Linked DNA regions of Saccharomyces cerevisiae S288C. The protein of the gene in region 1 interacts with the protein of each later gene in a biochemical or structural test. Each region holds a gene or a part of one and is shown on either strand. Other genes may lie near its edges. The genes, in order: MCM1, HMLALPHA1, MCM7 and MATALPHA1.

Region 1 (5,835 bases):
GAGAGCGCCAGACTGAAGAAATACTTCGGTCAAGTTATCTGGAGGTCCTGTGTTCGATCCACAGAATTCGCATTAATTTTTTTTTACTTTTCATTCGTTTTCCTCTTTTGGTGATGAGCAGCATCACAGAAGCGGGTGGGTCATCCATTATTAGACGGTAAGTGAAAAAAATTTGATGATTCAGGTGAACCGCTATGGAAAGGCACGTAGTTCTACTTACTCCTAGCAAGTAGCTATGCGATTTTCCTGCGCCATTTTTTTTCCCACATTAGTTACATACACTCTCTAAAGAATATTGCTAAATATGACGTCGAATAGCGACGGTTCAAGTACCAGTCCAGTTGAGAAACCAATTACCGGCGATGTTGAAACTAATGAACCTACCAAACCAATACGGCGGCTTTCAACGCCATCGCCAGAACAAGATCAAGAAGGCGATTTCGACGAAGAAGACGATGATGACAAATTCAGCGTGAGCACATCAACTCCCACCCCAACCATAACGAAAACTAAGGACAGCAGCGACACAAGTACGGTTACGAGGCGGAAGCAGCCGATCAGGTACATCGAGAATAAGACCCGGAGACATGTCACCTTCTCGAAGAGGCGGCACGGGATCATGAAAAAAGCATATGAGCTCTCCGTCCTAACCGGCGCCAATATTCTGCTTCTAATTCTGGCAAACTCTGGCCTGGTCTACACTTTCACAACGCCTAAGCTCGAGCCGGTGGTACGGGAAGACGAGGGTAAGAGCCTCATCAGGGCATGCATCAATGCTTCAGACACTCCTGACGCTACCGACACGTCGCCGGCACAGGAACAATCTCCGGCAAACTGAACATGCGAGAGTAAGAGATGCCCCACGAAGGCATAGGCAGATCCATATAGCACAATACGCGCATATAAAGTAGCATTGCTGCCAAAGGGGGTTGCACAAGGAGTTGCCCTCCTTCGGCACGCGGCTCGGAACATACCGGAGTGTCCCCCTTTGAGTAATTTTTCTCAAAAGAGGCACTTTTGCGCTGGGCCGCAGGAAATTTCCCTTTCTGTTCAGCACCTGTTGTCCTATATTAAGCTGTGCCAAACAAGGTCATCTCCAAATACTTACCAAAAAGCTAGGGCGTACTGTACTGGAATCTCTGCTTTTTTCTTTACCTTACTTCAATTTGCCTTGTCTGCTTTTTTACGTGTGTTTTGGCGTTTCTGCTTTTCTTTTTTATTACTCGTTGTTGTAAATCATTTTCTAAGTATTATACATACTATATCATCGCATACCCAATCGGTTTCCTATTCTCACCACTTTTTTCTGGAAAAATACATAGCCTAACAAGCAATTTTATTTTACGTTTGTTAATTCATTATACTGATAATATTTTTGAATTTTTTTTTTTTTTGATACATTTTTTTTAATCGCTGTTTTGTCTGTTTTTTTCGATTCAGTTATAGGGAAAAAAACGGGAAAGGAAAGAGAAAAAAAAATTAGTGCAGAGCAATAAGAAGCGAAAATCAAAAAAAAGTTTTGGATCTGCAAGACTTGCTGTCACGCAACAATATTATAGCCACCCAGCAAAAATGTCAGACATCGAAGAAGGTACGCCTACTAATAATGGGCAACAGAAGGAGAGAAGAAAGATAGAAATTAAGTTCATCGAGAATAAAACAAGGCGCCATGTGACATTTTCCAAAAGGAAGCACGGTATCATGAAAAAGGCGTTTGAGCTTTCTGTTCTAACGGGGACCCAGGTCCTGTTGCTAGTCGTTTCAGAAACAGGTTTGGTATATACTTTCAGCACGCCGAAGTTTGAACCTATAGTCACGCAGCAGGAAGGTAGAAACCTGATCCAGGCCTGTCTTAACGCCCCTGATGATGAGGAAGAAGACGAGGAGGAAGACGGTGATGATGATGATGATGATGACGATGATGGTAATGATATGCAACGCCAGCAACCACAACAACAGCAACCGCAACAACAGCAACAAGTATTGAATGCACACGCAAATAGCTTAGGCCATCTAAATCAAGATCAGGTACCGGCAGGCGCGCTGAAACAAGAGGTGAAGTCACAATTGCTAGGCGGTGCCAATCCTAATCAAAACTCAATGATTCAACAGCAGCAACATCACACGCAGAATTCACAACCACAACAGCAACAGCAACAACAACCACAGCAGCAAATGTCACAGCAACAAATGTCACAGCATCCTCGACCACAGCAAGGAATACCACATCCGCAACAATCGCAGCCACAGCAACAGCAACAACAACAACAACAACTGCAACAGCAGCAACAGCAGCAACAACAACAACCCCTCACCGGCATTCATCAGCCTCACCAACAGGCTTTTGCCAACGCTGCCTCCCCCTATCTGAATGCTGAACAGAATGCTGCCTACCAACAATACTTTCAAGAACCGCAACAAGGCCAATACTAATCTTATCGATTTCCGTATATAATTCATAGACGAGCATTAAGAGGAAAAAGCTGTTTCCGTACCAATTAAAGAAAGATAGACAACAAGAACAAAAACGTACATTACTCTATATTGAAAAAAGCCCTATGTCGGTAAAAGAATAGGAAGTACCTTAGTCATCGGCACTTACCTTTTTTTTTACGATTACTTCTGGTTTGTTTCTTTGCCTCATTTCATTTTGCTGCCACTTTCTTTCATAGGCAAGAAGATTCAATCAAATCTCCCCTTCTCCTTCCCCGGATATATAAAATATAAATATAAAACTTTAAGAATATAAAAATATGAGAAACCACACATAACTTGTATACTTTACTCACATACACACATTTCCAAAAAAATTATAATGTTAATTACATTGCTTTTAATGCTAATCTTTTTTTAGTTGTATAATCATTACCATATAAATGCCTCTCGGTCTAATTTCATTGCCAGTATTGTAAGTTATATACTTTTATACGAGTGTACGGAAAATATCGTGGCTCCCCGTTAACAGTGAAATAAATCTACGCATGTAGCTGCCAGTTTTTTAAGCGTTATATCAATATTGGTAAAGTAAGAATTGACGAAGAAATTGTTAACTACATTTTTCAGAACGGCGTGTCATTCTCCGATAATGTCTGAAGCGATATTCCAGCCAACGGACATTGTCCTTGCCAAAGTTAAAGGCTTTTCAGCATGGCCAGCAATGATTATCCCTAATGAACTCATCCCAGATAACATCCTCAAGACCAAACCTGTGAGTGTCCACAAAGGCAAATCAGGTAGTGATAAAAAAGCAAATGAAGATATAGATGCAGACATGGAATCAGAGGCTAGAGATCGAGAGCAAAGCGAAGAAGAAGAAGATATAGAGGATTTTGGTGAGAGTGAGGCTAATCCTGAAAAATTTATAATATACACTCCCGTTCTGAAGTTTCGTAAAAATGATACGTTGAAATCGACTTACTGCGTCAAGTTTTTTTGCGATGATTCTTATATCTGGGTGAAGCCCATGGATATGAAGATTCTAACAAGCGAAGATTGTCGTAAGTGGCTAAGCGGCAAACAGCGGAAGAATAAGAAACTCATACCGGCATATGAAATGGCTATGAGAGGCAAAAATGGAATTGATATTTGGGAATTTGTGGAATATGGGTCTTACGGCAAGCCAGATGAAGAGGAATATGTAGAGGAAGAGGAAGAAGAGAACGAACCTGAAAAAAAGGCTATAAGGCCAACCAGGTCTTCCAGTAGACAGCGTCAGAAGCGCGCCTCAGAAACGGAAAAGAGTGAGGGCGGTAATAGCAATAAAAGGAAAAGAGTTACTAGATCGACTAGGCAACAAGCGATAGATGCTTCAGAAGAGGAAGAGGAGGAAGAGGAGGAAAAAGTACAAGAGGCTGTTAGAAAGAGGCCGCAAAGGACCAAAACTAAGAAAGTTGTAGTATCCAAGACTAAACCAAATCCAAAAACAAAGGCAAAGAAAGAGAAACCTAAACCACCTAAGCCAATCAAATATCATTTTGAAGATGATGAAGATTGGAGCATTGTTGGGTTGGGCCCACAAGATCTATCAATCGAAAAAACGATGGATCCGATTGCGAAAAAACTGTCGCAGAAGAAAAATCTAGAAAAGCATGTGGAGATTAAGCTAGATCTGGAGGATAAACTAGCAGGTATCAACAAGCTCCTGTGTGATGTCTTATGTTCAGCCATTAACCAGGCTGTTTCGATAAAGGATGATTTCGAAATAATATTAGATGAATTGCAGATTGCCCTTGACACCAGGGGGTCCAGAAACGAATTTATAACAATTTTCCAATCAAATAATTCCCTACTGTTAAACTTTAGGATATTATTTAACTTAAGAAAAAGGGAACTGAACAAATGGGATCTGTGGGATCGTTTCCAGGATATTTTCAAGCATATTTATTCCTACCAGTTCATACCTGATACGGAAGATTGGCAACTAGAGCAAAATATGGAAATTGAAGAAATGGATCGGGAAAAGCCGAGCTTTAGTGAAGACGTAAAGGAAGAAGAAAGCAAAGTAGGAGCATGACCTGTTGCTATTGCAGTTGATGTACTCTGCTTTTGAACAATAGAGGGGAAACCTGTGTACTATAAAATAGACTAAAACTATGTAACTTGTGTATGTTCTGATATGTATGACGCAGTCTTTGATAGTCCAAAACTCACCTAGACTGTGCTGTATTATTACAATTAAAGTTCTAAGTCTGTTGTGCATTATCATTTGAGAAATGGGGGAATGTTGAGATAATTGTTGGGATTCCATTGTTGATAAAGGCTATAATATTAGGTATACAGAATATACTAGAAGTTCTCCTCAAGGATATAGGAATCCTCAAAATGGAATCTATATTTCTACATACTAATATTACGATTATTCCTCATTCCGTTTTATATGTTTCATTATCCTATTACATTATCAATCCTTGCACTTCAGCTTCCTCTAACTTCGATGACAGCTTCTCATAACTTATGTCATCATCTTAACACCGTATATGATAATATATTGATAATATAACTATTAGTTGATAGACGATAGTGGATTTTTATTCCAACATACCACCCATAATGTAATAGATCTAATGAATCCATTTGTTTGTTAATAGTTTGAATGTTTTTATCGGAAGAGGTTTGGTCATTACGTCTGCAATATTCTTTTTGGTTTCGATATAGCATACGTGCAGATGATTTCCTGATACTTCATCTCTCAGTCTCATTGCTTTAGTACCAAAAAATCTGTTTCTAAATTTCTCTTCATTATTGGATATAATTATACTGATTGTAGATTTACTGTCGGTTAGTAATCCTTTGGTAATTGGTTTCTTGTCGAGTTCTTGTATCAGGTAACTTAGATTATTTAATAATGGGACAGATTCACTTATTGCGTGTATTTCTGCTTCCGTAGTTGAAGTACATGTTAATGAAGCCTTGGTGGACTTTCCTCCAATTACTTTTCCATTAAGTAAATATATGTTGCCAATTTGTGATTTATAATACGGTTGGTTACCATACGATGCATCGCTTATAACAACTAATTTATTTGTTGGCTTAACAGGTTTGCTTTTGTGCCATATTAATTGCTTATCTCTCGTATTCCATATGAACTGTATCAATTCATATGTCATATCTAACACTTGCTTGGACGGAAATAGTATATGTTGTGCAAGTGTGTTGATGTAGTATAATAGGTCAAATCTAAATTTATATCCAACATATGATGCTAGACCTATCAGCTTTTGCATTTCATGTACCTTCATTTTGTAATCATCTTCTTCTAGCTCTAGTTCTTGCTGGTCTATATATAGACCTGGTTGACCTGGAGCGCTAAGTTTCCTTCCTTTTGGGTTCAAAGGT
Region 2 (5,515 bases), on another chromosome or scaffold:
TTTTTTGCTAAAACAACATTAGACCAAACTTACGATCTTTGGACCATGTTGATATATAGTTAATATTTGATCCAACTATGCGGGCTTGAAAATGAACAGTATCTTTTTTATGAAGTAGCTTTCGGATGGCACAAGGAACACGCATTTTCCCAAGGCTTAGTATACACATCCTTAAATACGAAAGTAAACATTAATGTTTGACTAAAATTAAGATTTGGTAAATACAGTATATAGACAATGCAATCGTACTAAAAACTAAATGGAACACAGAAAAGAGCAGTGAAAGATTTCTTTGATTGTTTGCTTGAGTCTGAGTAATATCATATTTTATACAAATACATAGACATAAACAAAAGAGGCAAGTAGATAAGGGTATAGCCATATGAGTGTATAAACAAACATTGGGAACAAGAGCAAGACGATGGGGAGTTTCAAATAGGATAGCTATACTGACAACATTCAGTACTCGAAAGATAAACAACCTCCGCCACGACCACACTCTATAAGGCCAAATGTACAAACACATCTTCCCAATATCCGTCACCACGTACTTCAGCATAATTATTCGTCAACCACTCTACAAAACCAAAACCAGGGTTTATAAAATTATACTGTTGCGCGAAGTAGTCCCATATTCCGTGCTGCATTTTGTCCGCGTGCCATTCTTCAGCGAGCAGAGAAGACAAGACATTTTGTTTTACACCGGAGCCAAACTGTGAGTAATATGCTCTAAAAGCCATAAATGAGTTTAAATATTTCTTTGAAGATTTTATAGATGTCTTATTGAACTGTCGAAACTGAGTATTTTGACTTCCAGACGCTATCCTGTGAATTTGGATTTTATTTAAAAATCGAGAGGAAGGAACAGGAATCTGGATATCTTTCTTGAGTGGTCGAATAATATTGAAGCAGCTTGGCCTCACATGCTCAGCTAGACGTTTTTCTTTCAGCTTTTTTGAAACCGCTGTGTTTCTGTATGATTTGGATGCTTTGTTCTTAATTTTGAAAGCAGGCTTCGAAGTAAACATATTGTGAATGTCGTCTATTAAGTTATTATATATGGTTGATACATTTCATAAAAAGTGAAGGTTAAAAGAAGTAGTTAAGAGTTTAAGTTGTTTCATATGATGTACTTTTCTACATTGGGAAGCAATAAATTGCATCCCAAACAAAACCCAGACATCATTAATGTTTTGAAACATAAAATGTTGGAACTTAAAAATATATATAAAGGAGAGATTGAAATCAGCTTAGAAGTGGGCAAGAAAAAAAGGAAGATAAGCAAGAAAAAATGAATAAAATACCCATTAAAGACCTTTTAAATCCACAAATCACAGATGAGTTTAAATCCAGCATACTAGACATAAATAAAAAGCTCTTTTCTATTTGCTGTAATTTACCTAAGTTACCAGAGAGTGTAACAACAGAAGAAGAAGTTGAATTAAGGGATATATTAGGATTCTTATCTAGGGCCAACAAAAACCGTAAGATTAGTGATGAGGAGAAGAAGTTGTTGCAAACAACATCTCAACTCACTACTACCATTACTGTATTACTCAAAGAAATGCGCAGCATAGAAAACGATAGAAGTAATTATCAACTTACACAGAAAAATAAATCGGCGGATGGGTTGGTATTTAATGTGGTAACTCAAGATATGATAAACAAAAGTACTAAACCTTACAGAGGACACCGGTTTACAAAAGAAAATGTCCGAATACTAGAAAGTTGGTTTGCAAAGAACATCGAGAACCCATATCTAGATACCAAGGGCCTAGAGAATCTAATGAAGAATACCAGTTTATCTCGCATTCAAATCAAAAACTGGGTTTCGAATAGAAGAAGAAAAGAAAAAACAATAACAATCGCTCCAGAATTAGCGGACCTCTTGAGCGGTGAGCCTCTGGCAAAGAAGAAAGAATGAGCCCGAAAAACAAATATGTATATATCTGTGTAGAATATATATATATATATATTTCGCAAAAATACATAAACAATCAACCCTCTCCTCAGACACTACTAAGATGTTTGTACTGATAGATAATGTCCTCGCCTACCTTCTTGAACAAGACGACCTATTTGTAACCGCACGCTTCGCTATCCAGGGCCAAATTGTCTCAAGAAGAGTTAACAAAATACATATCTCCAACATCACAGACGTCCTTCTACAACAATTCATAAGTCACACACTGCCCTATAATGACAATATCGTCCCAAAAAAAATCCTCGACAGCATGAGAACGGCCGTACGGCAGTTGCTGGAAGCAACTGCCTGTGTCTCTAGAGAATGCCCCCTCGTCAAAAGAAGTCAGGACATAAAAAGAGCAAGAAAACGTCTACTCAGTGACTGGTATAGGCTCGGCGCTGATGCAAACATGGATGCCGTATTACTAGTTGTTAACTCCGCCTGGAGGTTTCTGGCCGTCTGGCGACCCTTCGTAAACTCAATCCAACATGCAACTCAGGAATTGTATCAAAATATCGCCCATTACCTTCTTCATGGCAACGTAAATATACAGAGGGTCACAGCACTACTACAGCTCGTAATGGGACAGGACGATTTACTTTTTAGTATGGATGATGTTCTACAAGAGGTCTTCAGAATACAGCTCTATTTGAATAAGATGCTGCCGCACAACTCTCACAAATGGCAAAAGCCATCCCCCTTTGACTCCGCAAACTTACTACTTAACTTCAGAGACTGGACAACTGACAATGCTCTCCTCCAAGAGTTGCTACTATCCTATCCCACAATTAATAAAAACAAACACAAAAATCACTCCGTCCCTCGTCTAATACAAGTTTGAATGACGATTTTTCTGAAATCTTTGTTTACATTTCATTCTATGTGCGCTAGATATAAAAATCTTATTGTGAAAGGTGTTTGAATCAATTTGAAAAAATGTAGGTTGAATTTGGTTAGATTTGGCCCCCGAAATCGATAATAATGGCCAAATACTAAGTACATTAATTAGTTAATTGTTCTTTCATTAATAATTTGAATTCCAAATAAGTCCGTGCCGAAAACTTTAATGTTTTAAAAAAACATAAAAAAATCAAAAACCCATTCATAAGATACTGTGTTGATCCATATATTAATAGGTTTTAAGTACATATAGAATACTTAAGAAATTACATTCCATTGCGATACACCTATTTGATTCTGATTGTGTTGAAGTCTGTATAAAAGGCGAAAAAAATAAAATGAAAATAAGAAAATAACTGCGCTACTTGTCTTCTAAATTATCTTCTGGTGTCTCGTCCTTTTTTGGTATGATTAATTTCTTATTGGATGAAAAACTACAAAACAAAAATCCTAAGGCATAAAACCCTAGATCCATCCAAAATACGTTCTTAATGGAGTCGCTTAAAATGTTTCCAATAGTCGAATGAGAACCGTCGTAGTTTTGAAGACGATACAAAATCATGTCATCAACCGTTTTTCCTTCGTAAGGCTCTAGATGAGCTCGTGATACTTTGTTGTGAAAGGAGGCGGAAAAAACAGTGGTTGAAAGCACACCACCAAGAGTTGTACCTAATGACTTCATGAATGTATTGAAAGCTGTTACTTCAATAAAGTCCATAGCAGCTTCTGGACGATCTTTGGTAATTTGAAGCTGTGCACTCATGAGCGATGCTTGTAGAGCAAATCCAAGGGAAAACCCCGGTAATAGCAAAACACCAATTTGAGTTGACTTCGTGGACGTATTTGTCATAAGTGTCATAAGCCCTGCTCCAATTACCCCAAGAACGCCTCCAAATATTAAGAGTGGTTTAACTAAACCGAGCTTTTTGGTAATCACACCACTTGCAATGGCCGCAATAACGTTGGTAATAACGATTGGTATCAAGTGAAGACCGGCTTTCCATGCACTCGACGCAAATATAAGTTGGAAAAACTGGACAGAGTATATCATTTGCCCATTGTAACCGGTACATAATAGAAATGTTACCATGTTTATTATTATTATGGCTGGTTTTGCTACCAATCTTCTTAGAAGGAGAGGCCTGTAGGATATATTATCAGGTTCCGGGTTGAATTTATCGAATAAGAAGAAATCGTACACCAATGAAAAAATAAAAAGTAAGACACCCAAAACCAAATATGCGATGACTTGGCCAGAGTTCCAACTATATTTATTACCACCAAAGGTTAGCCCCAGTAGGAAAAGGACCAGCCCTGCAGAGCAGAGGGCAAAACCAAAGAAGTCAAACTTGAAGATTATGCCATTCATAAGTCTTTTAAAATTAACTTGGTGTCTGAACTTACTAAAAGTAAAGCTCGAGATTGTTCCTATAGCATCTTTAATTTGTTGAAGTATACCCTTATTCTCGGCCTTATATGTGAGTAAAAACATAATAATGGCAAGACCACCGATAGGAAGATTGATATAGAAGCACCACCTCCAGGTAACATGGGTTGTAAAGGCACCTCCGATTATAGGACCAACGATAGCAGCTACAGCAAATGCACAACTTAGGATGGAAATCACCAATGGACGTGACCTTTCACCAACCATCGTACAACCAATAACAAAGCAAAGCGTTTGAAGTCCGCTTCCCCCAACACTAGCAACAACTCTACCGACAATGAGCATATTCATTGAAGAGGCAAGGGCAGCAATTAGGGATCCGGCTTCAAAAATAAGTATTGCTAAAATGAGACTATGCTGGAAACCTATGATAGATGCGAATCTTCCCCAAATGAGACTCAGAATAGCATTTGGTAAACTGTAGCCTGTAACGAGCCAACCTGTTTTGGAGTAGTTTCCGAACTGTTCTGCGACCACGTCAATAATAGTTCCCACTATCAAAATATCCAGTGCAGTTATGAATAGTACAAGAGTTCACGAAGCCAGGCAGAGGTACAAGGAAAGTCCCATTGGAGAATCATTGCTACCTCTAGCATTCAATGAAGCGTCTGAACCACATGCTTCTTCTATCTCCTGCTGCGAAGAGTACTTAGTTTCCTCCATATTTTTGAATTTCTATCGATTAAGCTCTATACCAGGTATGATCTGGTCTGATCAGTTCTAGGTATAAGCATAACTAGAATACATCTATACATGTGTATATCTATATCTATATATATGTATATATATATATTTAAACCAAAAAAAAAAAAAAATTCGCTTCTCATAAAGGTGTGATGACACTATTATCTTTTGCATATCTTGTCGTCTCGTATCATGTACGCGCTGCATATGAGGTGCGGCGCTATCTGTTAAATATGTACCAATTTGCACCTGCTGCAAAGGAAATGTGGCACTACTTTTACTCGCATGTTAACTTTCACCTACTATATATAGAAAAAAGGGTGTTGTTTTCAATCGCTGACTAATTTGCTCAAATACTCTTTACAAAAAGGAAATTGTGTATCAGTAACCCTTACGGTTTGTTTATGAAGGAACTTTGCTCGTCCTACACCACCGGATCTAGGTACTCAATTTTTTGATGATTTTGCACTTGTGCGCATATCCTGTCGACAGGCACCGCATTTTTTTCCTTGTTTCAA
Region 3 (7,634 bases), on another chromosome or scaffold:
TGTTTTTAATATTGTCAACCTGAATTGTAAAGATTCTGCTTCGAGATTGGAATCAGAAGTAGCATCAGCCTCAGATCCGGCCCCATATCTAATATCAAATAAGTTTGATATTTCGAGAATATCCGGGTCTCGGCAACAATAGTTTTTTATATATAGCTTTTCGGACTTGATATTAAAAAGCTCTTCTAATCCTAAATCATCTAAATTTGAAAGATGATCCATAACCATCAATGCGACAAATTCATGCAATTTGGCATTACAAGCCCAGGAAAAATTTCTATCCAAGCCAGAGTCCCGGAAACTGAATAAGTGTCTTTCATAAGAGTTGTTTTCCATGGATTTATAATCCAAATGCTGGCGAAACGTCCTCATTACAAAATACTTTACCATATATTGCCTGCACCACACAATGTCATTCATTTTCACCTTAGTTAAGGAGCAGTAGCCACCTTTTTCTTCATTTCTATTGCAGATCATTTCAAAAATTTCAAAAGGGTTTAGCTTCTTTAATACGACGTTCTTATTGTTCAAGGTATTGTTGCGTCTGTGTTCCTCTCTTGTTTTCGTTTGTGCATCGATTGGAGGTGGGTAATCTGTCCAATTCGCCTGACCTCCAATCCAACTAGATGGATTGGTACCTAGGCTTGAAGAACGTGAGTGTTTCTTGCTTAACCCCTCATAATATTCATAACCTTTGCCAGAATCGGTCATATAGACAATTTCTAAATCTTTCTCAGGGCCTGCAGAAACACTAGACTCCTGGACAGCGGGCAACAGTGAAGATGTCATCCTTCTTCTTTCGGATCTTTGGTTGATTAATTTGAAATCGGTACAAATAACTAAATTGGAAAGGTTTAGTTCAACAAGGTTAGGACACAGGTTCAGCATATGTAAAATATAACCTAGGGGCAGATCTTTATAAGGAGCGTACTTTAAAAGAAATTTGTTGGCATACGGATGATGCGTACTAAATGGTTGTTCAATGCTAAATTTTAATGTCGAAGAACGATAATTGGATGGATGCCCCGAATCGTGCTTTAAAACTTTAAAGTCATCGTCAGACTTATCCTTCGAGTTCTTTAAATTAATCGTATTAGCTGTCCTTGCCTTTCTATTTCTTGAACTTAACCTCATTCTAAACCAGGAAGATGACGTAATGTCAGATATAGGTTTTGCTTTCTGAGGAGATGACCTTGTGGACTTCGCAGAAGCTTTTTTCAATGATCCAGCAGTGGAAACTCTTGACAGATTACTACCAGAAGAGATGTTACCATTGCTGGTATTAGACGTGGTTGAAGACAATGAGACATGGGAGGTGTTATAGATGGATGACATGATACTCGTCGTTATGGAAGCAACGGAACTATTGGAACGTTGTCTCCTTGTAGAGTGAACACCGGTGGAATTTCCAGAAGATGTAGAAGTGATAGAAGAAGAACGAGAAACCACTTTTTTCAGTTTAAAGCTGTTCAACAGAGGAGAGCTATAAAGGGGTTCATTTCTGTATCTCCAGTCTCTCCAACCAGCTAATGCCAAGTCTTCAACTTCACTGCCATTTGAAGCGTCGTCTTTGATTAATCCGCTATTGGCATCATCCTCGTTAGAAATGGTAGATGTTGGAGTAGCTGGAGGTAGATTCAAACTTGTGTTAGTAGATCTGCGGCGACGGCGTCTGTGACGCCTTGAGTGGCCATCATCGTCTAGGCCTTGAGAATCCTTCGAGTCTTGGCCTATAATTCCCGGCTTCAAGTGTGATAGGTCCAATACTTTCACGTATGCCCCGTTATCCGGATGTAATCTTAGTGAGGTGACAAACTGCGCCACTCTGTAAGTGGAAGTGAAGTAAGGTAGCCTATAAAGGACGATCTTTGTCGCCTTATAAAACTTCTTCGATACGTATAGACATCTTACGAGTGTCTTTTGATCACGACCTAACTCGAATTCAGAAAGTATTTTGGCAATTATTTCAACTGGTAAATCGTTGATATCGGCAAATTTGCCCCAAGCATGGTATTTTCTCTTCCTCAGCTTTTCAAATCTGGAATTTTCATGTTTACCAGAATGGGAAGTCTTCAGAGAAAATATAGAAAATGAGTCGGATGAAGCACCATGATCGTACAATTTATTCATAAATTTTTTTGAAGAGGTGGAGATTAAGGATTTATACTTTTTTTTAATCCTTGATTTCCTTGAATTCATCGTTATGATAGTTTCATTATCTAAAGATGTGACGTCGTCACTGCGTCTCTGACCTATGGAAGCCAAATCATCAGGAGCGCTGGATTGATTTTGATTGCTGAGTGGAGATTTGAACGTCGATAAGGGTGATTGACTCATTGATCTGGAGCAATTTGAGCCATGACGCTGTTTGCTCCTGGACTTTTGTGAGATAGATGACAGTTTACCAACTGTGGTAGAATTCTTACCAGCATTATTGCTACCACTGCCGTTACTATGATACAACTTATCGTAAACGGAAGTTCCGTAACGAGAATAGTTGTTAGAAACAATATTGACGTTTTGAAGTCTTGAAGCACTTGACATCAATACACTCGACCTTGTTTAGTGTACCTTTTTTTCTTTCTCCTTTTCCCCTCTTGCTTCGAGTGTCTATATAGTTCCTCCCCGCAAATATTCTTCAGCTAAAAATACTATCGTCCGGGATTTTCAAGAATAAAAAAATATCTTCAAATATAATCTAGTAAACGGAATAAAATAGGACTACCGTACTGAGCGGACAGGTTTGTAAAGGTTATATTAGTTTGAGAGTGGGACTATATATATATAGACTATATAAATATATATATATATATACTTATATTTTTGACAGTAGGGATGGAGATCGATGAATGTTGCCTTCACATGTTAATGAATGAAAAAAATTTTACTGTCTGCGGGTCCCCTAAAAGTCCTCTTGGCGATAACAGAATGGGTGCCGGCAGGTATCTCAAATTCGGATTATTATCAAGCGCTACGAATTATTCTGAGAACAATCTTTTCATTTTCTGGAAGAACTCCGCACGGTGTACTCTCTGGTATACTCAGGGGCTGACGGTACCCTGTAGCACGGCTCTCCACAGGCACATCTGAGCAATACTAGCTGGCCCTATTCCGCTTGAAGATAATTTTCCTTTCTCCGCAAAAAAAAAAAAACAAGAATTGGGCCGCGGTGCACGGACATGCGCAGTCATAATGTTAAGTCCGAAATGTGTGGGGTCTGTGGCTGGCAAAAGCGATGAATAATATTAGTAAAATTATAATAATACAGAATACATATCTTGAAAACTGGGCCTTGGAAGTAAGTTACAGAAGGTAAATTTGAATGTGCAGCTATATGGAAATGAAAAAAAGGGGGAAAAAGAATAAAGAATGAAGGCCCTGTTGCTTTTTTTTTTAGAACTTTCAAGCGTCTTGTAGATCGATATCAGAATCTTGGGCGCTCACATTAGCGGAAGCGGTCGTTTGTGGTGCGAGTTTAGGCGTGCTCACTAGTGAGTCTTCCTGGTCTGTGTCCATGGTACCGTCATCCACGAATTTCAAAGTGTTACCCTCATTAATTAAATGCCAGACGTTTAAGTAAGAATATTCTTGGATACAGTTGCTTAATTGTAGCATGGTAAACCCTCTTAGTCTTACAGTTTTCACAATATTTTCATATGATAGCGTGTTTTTACCAGTTTCTTGTAACATTTTCTTGATGATCGTAAAGATTTTCGTTGTGGGGCTTTCATCTTCTTTAGATTTGTTGGTTTCTTGATACAATGATTCCTTGGAGACTCGGACCAACCTCAAGGCTTCCTCCACATCATCTATATCCACCATATCAGCCAACCTTAACTTTGCTAGCGCTTGAGATAATCTTATAATACCTAGTAAAGTTCTCGGAGTGGCTTGACCAAAGGAAAATTTGGAATCCATTTCTCTCTTGGAGTCTTGTCTTAATCTGATGTAAGCTTGCACCACATAATCGTTTACAGCTTCACTCATCACTGGCCTCTTTGTCTTAGCATAGGCAATGTACTCTCTCATTTTAGAGGGTTCTACTGGAGTGAAGTCCAAATCCGGTTGTTTATTATGCATATGCACATATGTAACGTGCTCGGCTAATTTTTCGTCGTCATCTCTACTTGGTATATCTAACATTAAGAAGAGAATATCAAATCTGGATAGTAAAGCAGCTGGTAGATTTATATTGTCCAGAGGTGATAATCTAGGATTATATCTACCATACAACGGATTTGCTGCCGCTAAGATTGAGGTTCTGGCGTTCAAAGTTGTATTGATACCCGCCTTGGATATCGAAATTGTTTGTTGTTCCATAACTTCATGGATTGCCGTTCTGTCACTTTCATCCATCTTATCAAATTCATCGATACAACAAATACCGTTATCAGCGAGTACTAAGGCACCACCTTCTAGAATCATTTCATCCGTGACAGGATCTTTCATGACGGCAGCGGTCAGACCAACGCCTGAGGAACCCTTACCAGTGGTATACACTCCTCGAGGTGATATTTTGCAAATGGCCTTCAGCAGTTGAGATTTGGCAACACCGGGATCACCCATCAGACAAACATTGATATCACCTCTGATTTTCATACCGTCACCTACCCTTTTATCAACACCTCCGACAAGTAATAGCAGCAACGCTTTCTTTACGTCCAAGTTACCGTAGATTTCCGGTGCAATAGATTTTGCCAGCCTATTATAAACATCACCAGAGGTGATTAATTCCATAACTCTCTCTTCTACATCAGAAGTCAGACTGAAAGACGCAAATTTCTTCTTGTGTTGACGGACAAACTGTGCCTCTAAATAAGTTTCTGTCAGTAAGCCAGCTTTCAAAGCTTTGAAACCGGTGTAGGGCGCTGGCAAGAATATACCAGTTACATCGACGATATCACCAGGCGATAAAGATCTTACCAGCGTCCCGTTAACGTGGATATTTAGCGACCTAGGAATATGACCCACTGGCACTTGTTGTGATAACTCCTGAATTTTACATTCCTGAAAGGCACTAAATTTGGAAGCTCGTGTACTCATAAACAATTGACCCTTTGTTTGATTTTGGGAACATTCTTCGGAAGTACATTCTGACAACGGAGTAAAAGTACGAGAGTTGACCTCTTGGAAAACTTCGTACCCACATTGATCGCAGGTATATGCGATAACTTCCACAGCTGGTTTGACATCAGAAACTCTGGTGATAATACCTCTGACGGTAATCAATTGGCCTAGGAAGTCACCTTTAATCTGCCTAACAGATAATGGTTTAGAACTAATTGCTTTCTTCCTGTAACGACGAGCACAATTTTGCGATAGAGGCTTAAAATAAAGGAAATAGCGTCTAGTTAAATTAGGAGGAAATAACTCAGTTTCATCCTCGACAACTTCTCTTAACGCATCATTCATGGAAGAGGGTGGATCCATCGTGGTATCCATGAGGTTTTCGCTTCGGATCTCATTGGTCCTGTCCGAGAGCATTCTCTCATTCCTCAGTCTCCTTTGGTTTAAAATAACATCAAGAACGTCGTCCTTGTAGTCAATTTCTTTTGTTGGTAGCGGCATGTTGTTGTCAATGGCACGGCAAAATAATTCAGTGAAGTGATTAGCGTTTTGTTGAATGGCAGACACAAGGTCGTCTGCCTGTGTGCCCTGGAGAAACTTTTCGTTTTGATACTGTAGAATGTCATCTAAATCAATAATCACGGAATTCAGTTCCCTATTAGCCACTTTCTGTAGCATCGCCATGTACTTGGGCCCCTTTTCCAATAGATGTTGTTCGATATTCTCAGCATCCAAATTTTCATCTTCGTTCTCATTTCGTGTTGCATCAGAAGACAACGTATCCTGCTTGAAAGTCACCAAAAAATCGGTGATTTCATTAAAAAGATTATTATAGTCGACAGGAAGCTGAATTGATGGAAGTGCCGCACTCATAATCTGGTCTATCTGTATTGAGTTCTTCCTGCAAGATTCAAGCTAATCTAGGTAGTGATTATATTGCCTTTCTAAATGTAAGTTATTGGTAAAGACGTGTATGTAGCCTGCTACTGTAGTACATCTCGCTCTGGTCCTTTGCTTGTATCTCACTTTCGTGAAAAAAGAAGCAAACCGACTTAATGAATTGCATTTATTTTCCTTATAAGGAAATTTCCTTTCTGGGTAAATTAGTTAAGAAAAATTTTTTCGAGGCCGTGAAAAACGCGAAGGCTTATACAATGTATTATGAGTGAGTAATAAGTAGCATTCAAGGGTAGAAGGGGCCTCGACCTGTTATTGAGAAAATATACAAGAAGCGCTTATTATATTCGAGTAGCGGCTACGTTGACCTAGCAGGTATCCCGTGGGTAATAGTTTAAGTTATGACATTCACACCACTTTAGAATTTACTTACTCTTTTACCCTCTCTGTCTCTCGTAGGGTACATTTCTTTGTGCTTCTATTCTGTTGCTCTCAGACAAATTTGGAAGTTTTACAGTAAATTATTTTTACTCTTTTCCTTGTCGTCGTAATCAGTGAGGTATCCTGCCTGGTACCTTCCCCTCATTTTTGTACGAAGTATAAACAAAAGCACGGAAAAGGGGAAGCTAAGGAAAGTGAACACCTGTGCTTCGCATTGTTTGCTGCGATTAAAAAAGGTAATACAAAGGCAACTTTAAGCTTTTGTACCGTATCGGCCTATCATAATAGAGAGCCCGCGCACTTCCTAAGAAAGGCAGTTCGTTGCAACTCTCCGGTGGTTTCTTCGCCACTGCAAGGAAGACAATAGCTCGAGAAGGTCATTATTGTTGGAAATATGTTAATTACCATAGCAACAGCAAAATATTCCTAATTCTCAGAGTTATATAAGCAGGGTATATAATAGGCCATCTGCAAACGGACACCAAGTTTTTTTTCTTCTTTCCTCTCCTCTCCTCTCTTTTATATTCCACATTTATTCCCTGTGACAAGGCGAAAACCAAGAATTTTTTTGTAATATATAGGAAATATCACAAAAGATCGAGGACTAACAATGCTGGCCATGAAATCATTTTCACAAGTTTCTAAATCATACAAGGCAAGTGCTCCCAGTAAAAAGCTGACGACGTTGTTTTATGTTGCTTACATCACTCTGGGACTAACAACACCTTTCCTTCTACCGGCCCGAATGGCTTCTAAAGACACACACTACTACAAGGACGAATTTTGTTCTCAACGATCATACACCAGGTTTTAGAGTCTTTCGAAAATATGGGTTATCATTAGGGAGAAAATTACCGAGACTTTTTCGGCTACTTATTTATTCTGCATTTATACATTTGAGACAGGTTCTTCATATTATTTTTAGTTTGTGGGATTGCAGTTTTAACTGTACTGTTTTCACATCTTTCATTCATTCTAGTCAACGTTTCATTTATCCTTGGCCTATTTTATATGTAGTTATTTATGCTAAGTATGTTTGTTTATCAAGCGTTCACTTTTGTTATTGGTTTTTGGTAAATAAAAACGGCCTTTCCTTTAGGGTGTTTCAGTGTTGCGGAACCAGTCGTACGGAGATTTACACAAATCGATGCCATAAATCTTCCCTATTATATCATCCATGTAGTAAATTACGTGACCTGGCATGAAATTCATGGCAATTTCTAACCAGC
Region 4 (5,485 bases), on another chromosome or scaffold:
CTGTGGAGGCACCCAAGAAGGCGAATAAGATAAAGATAAGTTTGAAAGGTGATAAACCTGTTAGAAAAGTGGAAAAACAAATTGTGAAGCCGAAGGTAACTAGCAAACAAAGGAAAGTCAAAAGTCATGTGAACCGCATGGGCAGTTTACCTTTACGGTTTGTTAAGATCCAACAACAACCTAGAGTAATGGTGCATTTGTCATCCGTCCCGTATAGCCAATTCGTTCAAATTACAAAAGTCACATCAAGATCGTTTATGGTTAAGATAAGAACAAAGAATGATGCTAAGAATTGATTGTTTGCTTGAGTCTGAGTAATATCATATTTTATACAAATACATAGACATAAACAAAAGAGGCAAGTAGATAAGGGTATAGCCATATGAGTGTATAAACAAACATTGGGAACAAGAGCAAGACGATGGGGAGTTTCAAATAGGATAGCTATACTGACAACATTCAGTACTCGAAAGATAAACAACCTCCGCCACGACCACACTCTATAAGGCCAAATGTACAAACACATCTTCCCAATATCCGTCACCACGTACTTCAGCATAATTATTCGTCAACCACTCTACAAAACCAAAACCAGGGTTTATAAAATTATACTGTTGCGCGAAGTAGTCCCATATTCCGTGCTGCATTTTGTCCGCGTGCCATTCTTCAGCGAGCAGAGAAGACAAGACATTTTGTTTTACACCGGAGCCAAACTGTGAGTAATATGCTCTAAAAGCCATAAATGAGTTTAAATATTTCTTTGAAGATTTTATAGATGTCTTATTGAACTGTCGAAACTGAGTATTTTGACTTCCAGACGCTATCCTGTGAATTTGGATTTTATTTAAAAATCGAGAGGAAGGAACAGGAATCTGGATATCTTTCTTGAGTGGTCGAATAATATTGAAGCAGCTTGGCCTCACATGCTCAGCTAGACGTTTTTCTTTCAGCTTTTTTGAAACCGCTGTGTTTCTGTATGATTTGGATGCTTTGTTCTTAATTTTGAAAGCAGGCTTCGAAGTAAACATATTGTGAATGTCGTCTATTAAGTTATTATATATGGTTGATACATTTCATAAAAAGTGAAGGTTAAAAGAAGTAGTTAAGAGTTTAAGTTGTTTCATATGATGTACTTTTCTACATTGGGAAGCAATAAATTGCATCCCAAACAAAACCCAGACATCATTAATGTTTTGAAACATAAAATGTTGGAACTTAAAAATATATATAAAGGAGAGATTGAAATCAGCTTAGAAGTGGGCAAGAAAAAAAGGAAGATAAGCAAGAAAAAATGAATAAAATACCCATTAAAGACCTTTTAAATCCACAAATCACAGATGAGTTTAAATCCAGCATACTAGACATAAATAAAAAGCTCTTTTCTATTTGCTGTAATTTACCTAAGTTACCAGAGAGTGTAACAACAGAAGAAGAAGTTGAATTAAGGGATATATTAGGATTCTTATCTAGGGCCAACAAAAACCGTAAGATTAGTGATGAGGAGAAGAAGTTGTTGCAAACAACATCTCAACTCACTACTACCATTACTGTATTACTCAAAGAAATGCGCAGCATAGAAAACGATAGAAGTAATTATCAACTTACACAGAAAAATAAATCGGCGGATGGGTTGGTATTTAATGTGGTAACTCAAGATATGATAAACAAAAGTACTAAACCTTACAGAGGACACCGGTTTACAAAAGAAAATGTCCGAATACTAGAAAGTTGGTTTGCAAAGAACATCGAGAACCCATATCTAGATACCAAGGGCCTAGAGAATCTAATGAAGAATACCAGTTTATCTCGCATTCAAATCAAAAACTGGGTTTCGAATAGAAGAAGAAAAGAAAAAACAATAACAATCGCTCCAGAATTAGCGGACCTCTTGAGCGGTGAGCCTCTGGCAAAGAAGAAAGAATGAGCCCGAAAAACAAATATGTATATATCTGTGTAGAATATATATATATATATTTCGCAAAAATACATAAACAATCAACCCTCTCCTCAGACACTACTAAGATGTTTGTACTGATAGATAATGTCCTCGCCTACCTTCTTGAACAAGACGACCTATTTGTAACCGCACGCTTCGCTATCCAGGGCCAAATCGTCTCAAGAAGAGTTAACAAAATACATATCTCCAACATCACAGACGTCCTTCTACAACAATTCATAAGTCACACACTGCCCTATAATGACAATATCGTCCCAAAAAAAATCCTCGACAGCATGAGAACGGCCGTACGGCAGTTGCTGGAAGCAACTGCCTGTGTCTCTAGAGAATGCCCCCTCGTCAAAAGAAGTCAGGACATAAAAAGAGCAAGAAAACGTCTACTCAGTGACTGGTATAGGCTCGGCGCTGATGCAAACATGGATGCCGTATTACTAGTTGTTAACTCCGCCTGGAGGTTTCTGGCCGTCTGGCGACCCTTCGTAAACTCAATCCAACATGCAACTCAGGAATTGTATCAAAATATCGCCCATTACCTTCTTCATGGCAACGTAAATATACAGAGGGTCACAGCACTAATACAGCTCGTAATGGGACAGGACGATTTACTTTTTAGTATGGATGATGTTCTACAAGAGGTCTTCAGAATACAGCTCTATTTGAATAAGATGCTGCCGCACAACTCTCACAAATGGCAAAAGCCATCCCCCTTTGACTCCGCAAACTTACTACTTAACTTCAGAGACTGGACAACTGACAATGCTCTCCTCCAAGAGTTGCTACTATCCTATCCCACAATTAATAAAAACAAACACAAAAATCACTCCGTCCCTCGTCTAATACAAATCTGGGTAGAGTCTTATTGGCAAGATAGTGAGACAACATTAAAAGATATCCTCAATTTTTGGTACAGTCACTTGGCTGAATATTATGAATACCAAGAACTGTTTGCAGACATAGTTCAGCTGTTTATAAACAAAAAAAGAACGAGGCAATTGAAGATTCATTACATTGGTCTAACTGATAAGGAAATCGAAGAAAATAAACCGCCCCTGGACTACGAAAACTTATTTCTCCAATACGAGATAGACAAAACGAACGCAAATGATGAATTGTGCGGTGCAACTGACCTCAGTGATTTACTTTTCCAATGGAAACAGGGTGAACTTCTAGAAGTCGAAGCCTTCGCTCTAAACGTATCTCCATGGTCACTTGCAAAGACATTGACTCTCTTAGAATCTTCTCTTTACTTGGATATTGAAACAATAGAATTCACAAGACATTTCAAACACAACGATACAACAATTGACTCCGTGTTTACGCTTTCCAACCAGTTATCGTCCTACGTTCTTGAGACAACTTTGCAGCAAACGCACACCATTTCCTACTGGTTACAAGTTGCACTGTCTTGTCTATACTTACGAAACTTAAACTCACTTGCTTCAATCATTACATCATTGCAAAATCATTCAATAGAAAGACTATCTCTCCCGATAGATGTTAAATCAGACCACCTTTTTCAGCGCCTAAAAGTCGTCGTACATCCAAACAACAACTACAACGTTTATAGAAGAACAATTAAACATATTTTCCACAGTCAGCTTCCTTGTGTACCTTTTACATCACTGCTTATCAGGGACATTACCTTCATAAGAGACGGAAACGATACATTCACTAAAGATGGTAATAACGTGAATATGCAAAAGTTCAACCAAATCACAAAGATAGTCGCTTTTGCGCAATATTTACAACAAAAGCAATATGAAGATATACACTGTTCAAATACTACTGCAAGAAGCTTATTAGGGGCTATGATAAAGGTGCACACTTTATATAACGACAACAAAGACAGGGCGTATCAAGTCAGTATAGCTAAGGTTCCAAGGCTTACCTAAAAACAGAACTGTTCAAAGAAAGATGACTTCCTTTTGCTTCTTGTACGCTCACAAATAATTAATATTCATGTTTAGTACTGAAAATTAAGAATACTTGCATAACTACAGTAGATAATATTTTTTGATAAGAAACCAGACGTAAATTAGATGTAATCTTTTACAGATATTACAGTCAACTTAATCAATTACCTAAAAAGGTTTAAGATTGTGCATAGGAAACGTTTCAATTACCGTATCTTTAGGCTACCGCCTCTTTCTTATTTTCCCTTACCCTTTTTTCAATCTAATTAATTGATGATTTCGCACGTGGGAAAAGTAATCCGATGCATTGAAAAATTATTACCAGAAAACAGTGTTTCACACCAAAAAAGCAGTCAGCTCTCAGATAAAGGTGCAGCAAAACTACGGTAAAGGCGGCTATTATTGTGCCTCGAAATGAGATTCTCACACTTTCTCAAATACAACGCTGTCCCTGAATGGCAGAATCATTACCTAGATTATAACGAATTGAAAAATTTGATCTACACATTACAGACAGATGAATTGAAACAAGAAACGCCAACCGGTGACTTAAACGATGACGCTGACTCTCAGACTCCAGGTCCAATCGCTGATATAGAAAGCAACATAGCTGCAGGAGAACCATCTTCATCGAAAAGAAGATTTACACATAAACTCAAGCGTAAGCTCTTTGGTTCTAAAACACCTTCAGGAAGCAAAAGGGGAGACTCCGACGAAAAGGCCATAGATGGGAACAATATTAACGAGGAAACAATTGAGTTAGACGAGTTATCTCCTCAAGGGAAAACCACCTCTTTCAATAAGAATTTTATACGTAAGAAATTCTTTGAATCACGCAGCTCATCTGTGAGTAGCGAGGGAAAGACGCTCTTCAGTTCTTATGATACATTCGTAACTAACCTGAGCGACGAGAAATTGAAAGTAGATGATTTCTACAAAAGAATGGAAGCTAAGTTCTATGAAAGATTTGACCACTTGATTAATGATTTGGAGAAGGAAGGCATTGTAACAAGATTGAATGAAACTTTCAATCCTGAAATTCAAGCATTGCCTCCTTTAAGAGAAATTATTTCTGGTACATCAGAGACACATTCATCTAATAACCCATTTGAAATACACTCTTCAAACATCGACAGTGAATTGAGAAATAGGTTTGATTACAGCGAAGAAGAAATGGATGAAGATGATGACGTTGACGTGTTTGCTGACACTACCGACAATACCGCCCTCTTGAATTATTCGCAATTTAACATTAAATCTCAGAAAAAGTCATTATTAAAACAGACAATAATAAATCTTTACATAGACCTTTGCCAGTTGAAATCTTTTATCGAATTGAACAGAATGGGTTTCAGTAAAATTACTAAGAAGTCTGATAAAGTATTGCACATGAACACTAGGCAAGAATTAATAGAAAGTGAAGAATTTTTCAAAGACACCTACATCTTCCAGCATGAAACTTTAAGCAGTTTAAACAGTAAAATTGCACAACTTATTGAATTTTATGCTGTTCTCATGGGTCAGCCTGGGAACGTAGATTCATGCAAGCAAGAGTTAAAGTCGTACCTGCACGACCACATTGTTTGGGAAAGAAGCAACACATGGAAAGACATGT

What was found.
Region 2: the proteins of MCM1 (region 1) and HMLALPHA1 form a complex in vitro, tested with the Saccharomyces cerevisiae proteins (one study listed by BioGRID).
Region 3: the proteins of MCM1 (region 1) and MCM7 form a complex in vitro, tested with the Saccharomyces cerevisiae proteins (one study listed by BioGRID).
Region 4: the proteins of MCM1 (region 1) and MATALPHA1 form a complex in vitro, tested with the Saccharomyces cerevisiae proteins (one study listed by BioGRID).

The regions. Positions count from the first base shown.
Region 1 is NC_001145.3:352,299-358,133, forward strand, and holds MCM1 (transcription factor MCM1), read left to right. Parts: upstream 1-1,572; coding exon 1,573-2,433; downstream 2,434-5,835. Other genes in the region: ARG80 (Arg80p), read left to right, coding at 305-838; IOC4 (Ioc4p), read left to right, coding at 3,086-4,513. UniProt on the Saccharomyces cerevisiae protein: Transcription factor required for the efficient replication of minichromosomes and the transcriptional regulation of early cell cycle genes. Activates transcription of ECB-dependent genes during the G1/M phase.
Region 2 is NC_001135.5:8,795-14,309, reverse strand, and holds HMLALPHA1 (transcriptional co-activator mating type protein alpha), read right to left. Parts: upstream 1,029-5,515; coding exon 501-1,028; downstream 1-500. Other genes in the region: HMLALPHA2 (homeodomain mating type protein alpha2), read left to right, coding at 1,292-1,924; YCL068C (uncharacterized protein), read left to right, coding at 2,025-2,807; VBA3 (basic amino acid transporter), read right to left, coding at 3,228-4,604. UniProt on the Saccharomyces cerevisiae protein: Mating type proteins are sequence specific DNA-binding proteins that act as master switches in yeast differentiation by controlling gene expression in a cell type-specific fashion. Silenced copy of ALPHA1 at HML.
Region 3 is NC_001134.8:624,078-631,711, reverse strand, and holds MCM7 (DNA replication licensing factor MCM7), read right to left. Parts: upstream 5,941-7,634; coding exon 3,403-5,940; downstream 1-3,402. Other genes in the region: COS111 (Cos111p), read right to left, coding at 1-2,544; MIN7 (Min7p), read left to right, coding at 7,016-7,219; DER1 (derlin), read right to left, coding at 7,501-7,634. UniProt on the Saccharomyces cerevisiae protein: Acts as a component of the MCM2-7 complex (MCM complex) which is the putative replicative helicase essential for 'once per cell cycle' DNA replication initiation and elongation in eukaryotic cells.
Region 4 is NC_001135.5:195,985-201,469, reverse strand, and holds MATALPHA1 (transcriptional co-activator mating type protein alpha), read right to left. Parts: upstream 1,029-5,485; coding exon 501-1,028; downstream 1-500. Other genes in the region: transcription initiation factor TFIID subunit TAF2, read left to right, coding at 1-296; YCR041W (uncharacterized protein), read right to left, coding at 227-559; MATALPHA2 (homeodomain mating type protein alpha2), read left to right, coding at 1,292-1,924; Ras family guanine nucleotide exchange factor BUD5, read left to right, coding at 1,921-3,849; PHO87 (SPX domain-containing inorganic phosphate transporter), read left to right, coding at 4,285-5,485. UniProt on the Saccharomyces cerevisiae protein: Mating type proteins are sequence specific DNA-binding proteins that act as master switches in yeast differentiation by controlling gene expression in a cell type-specific fashion.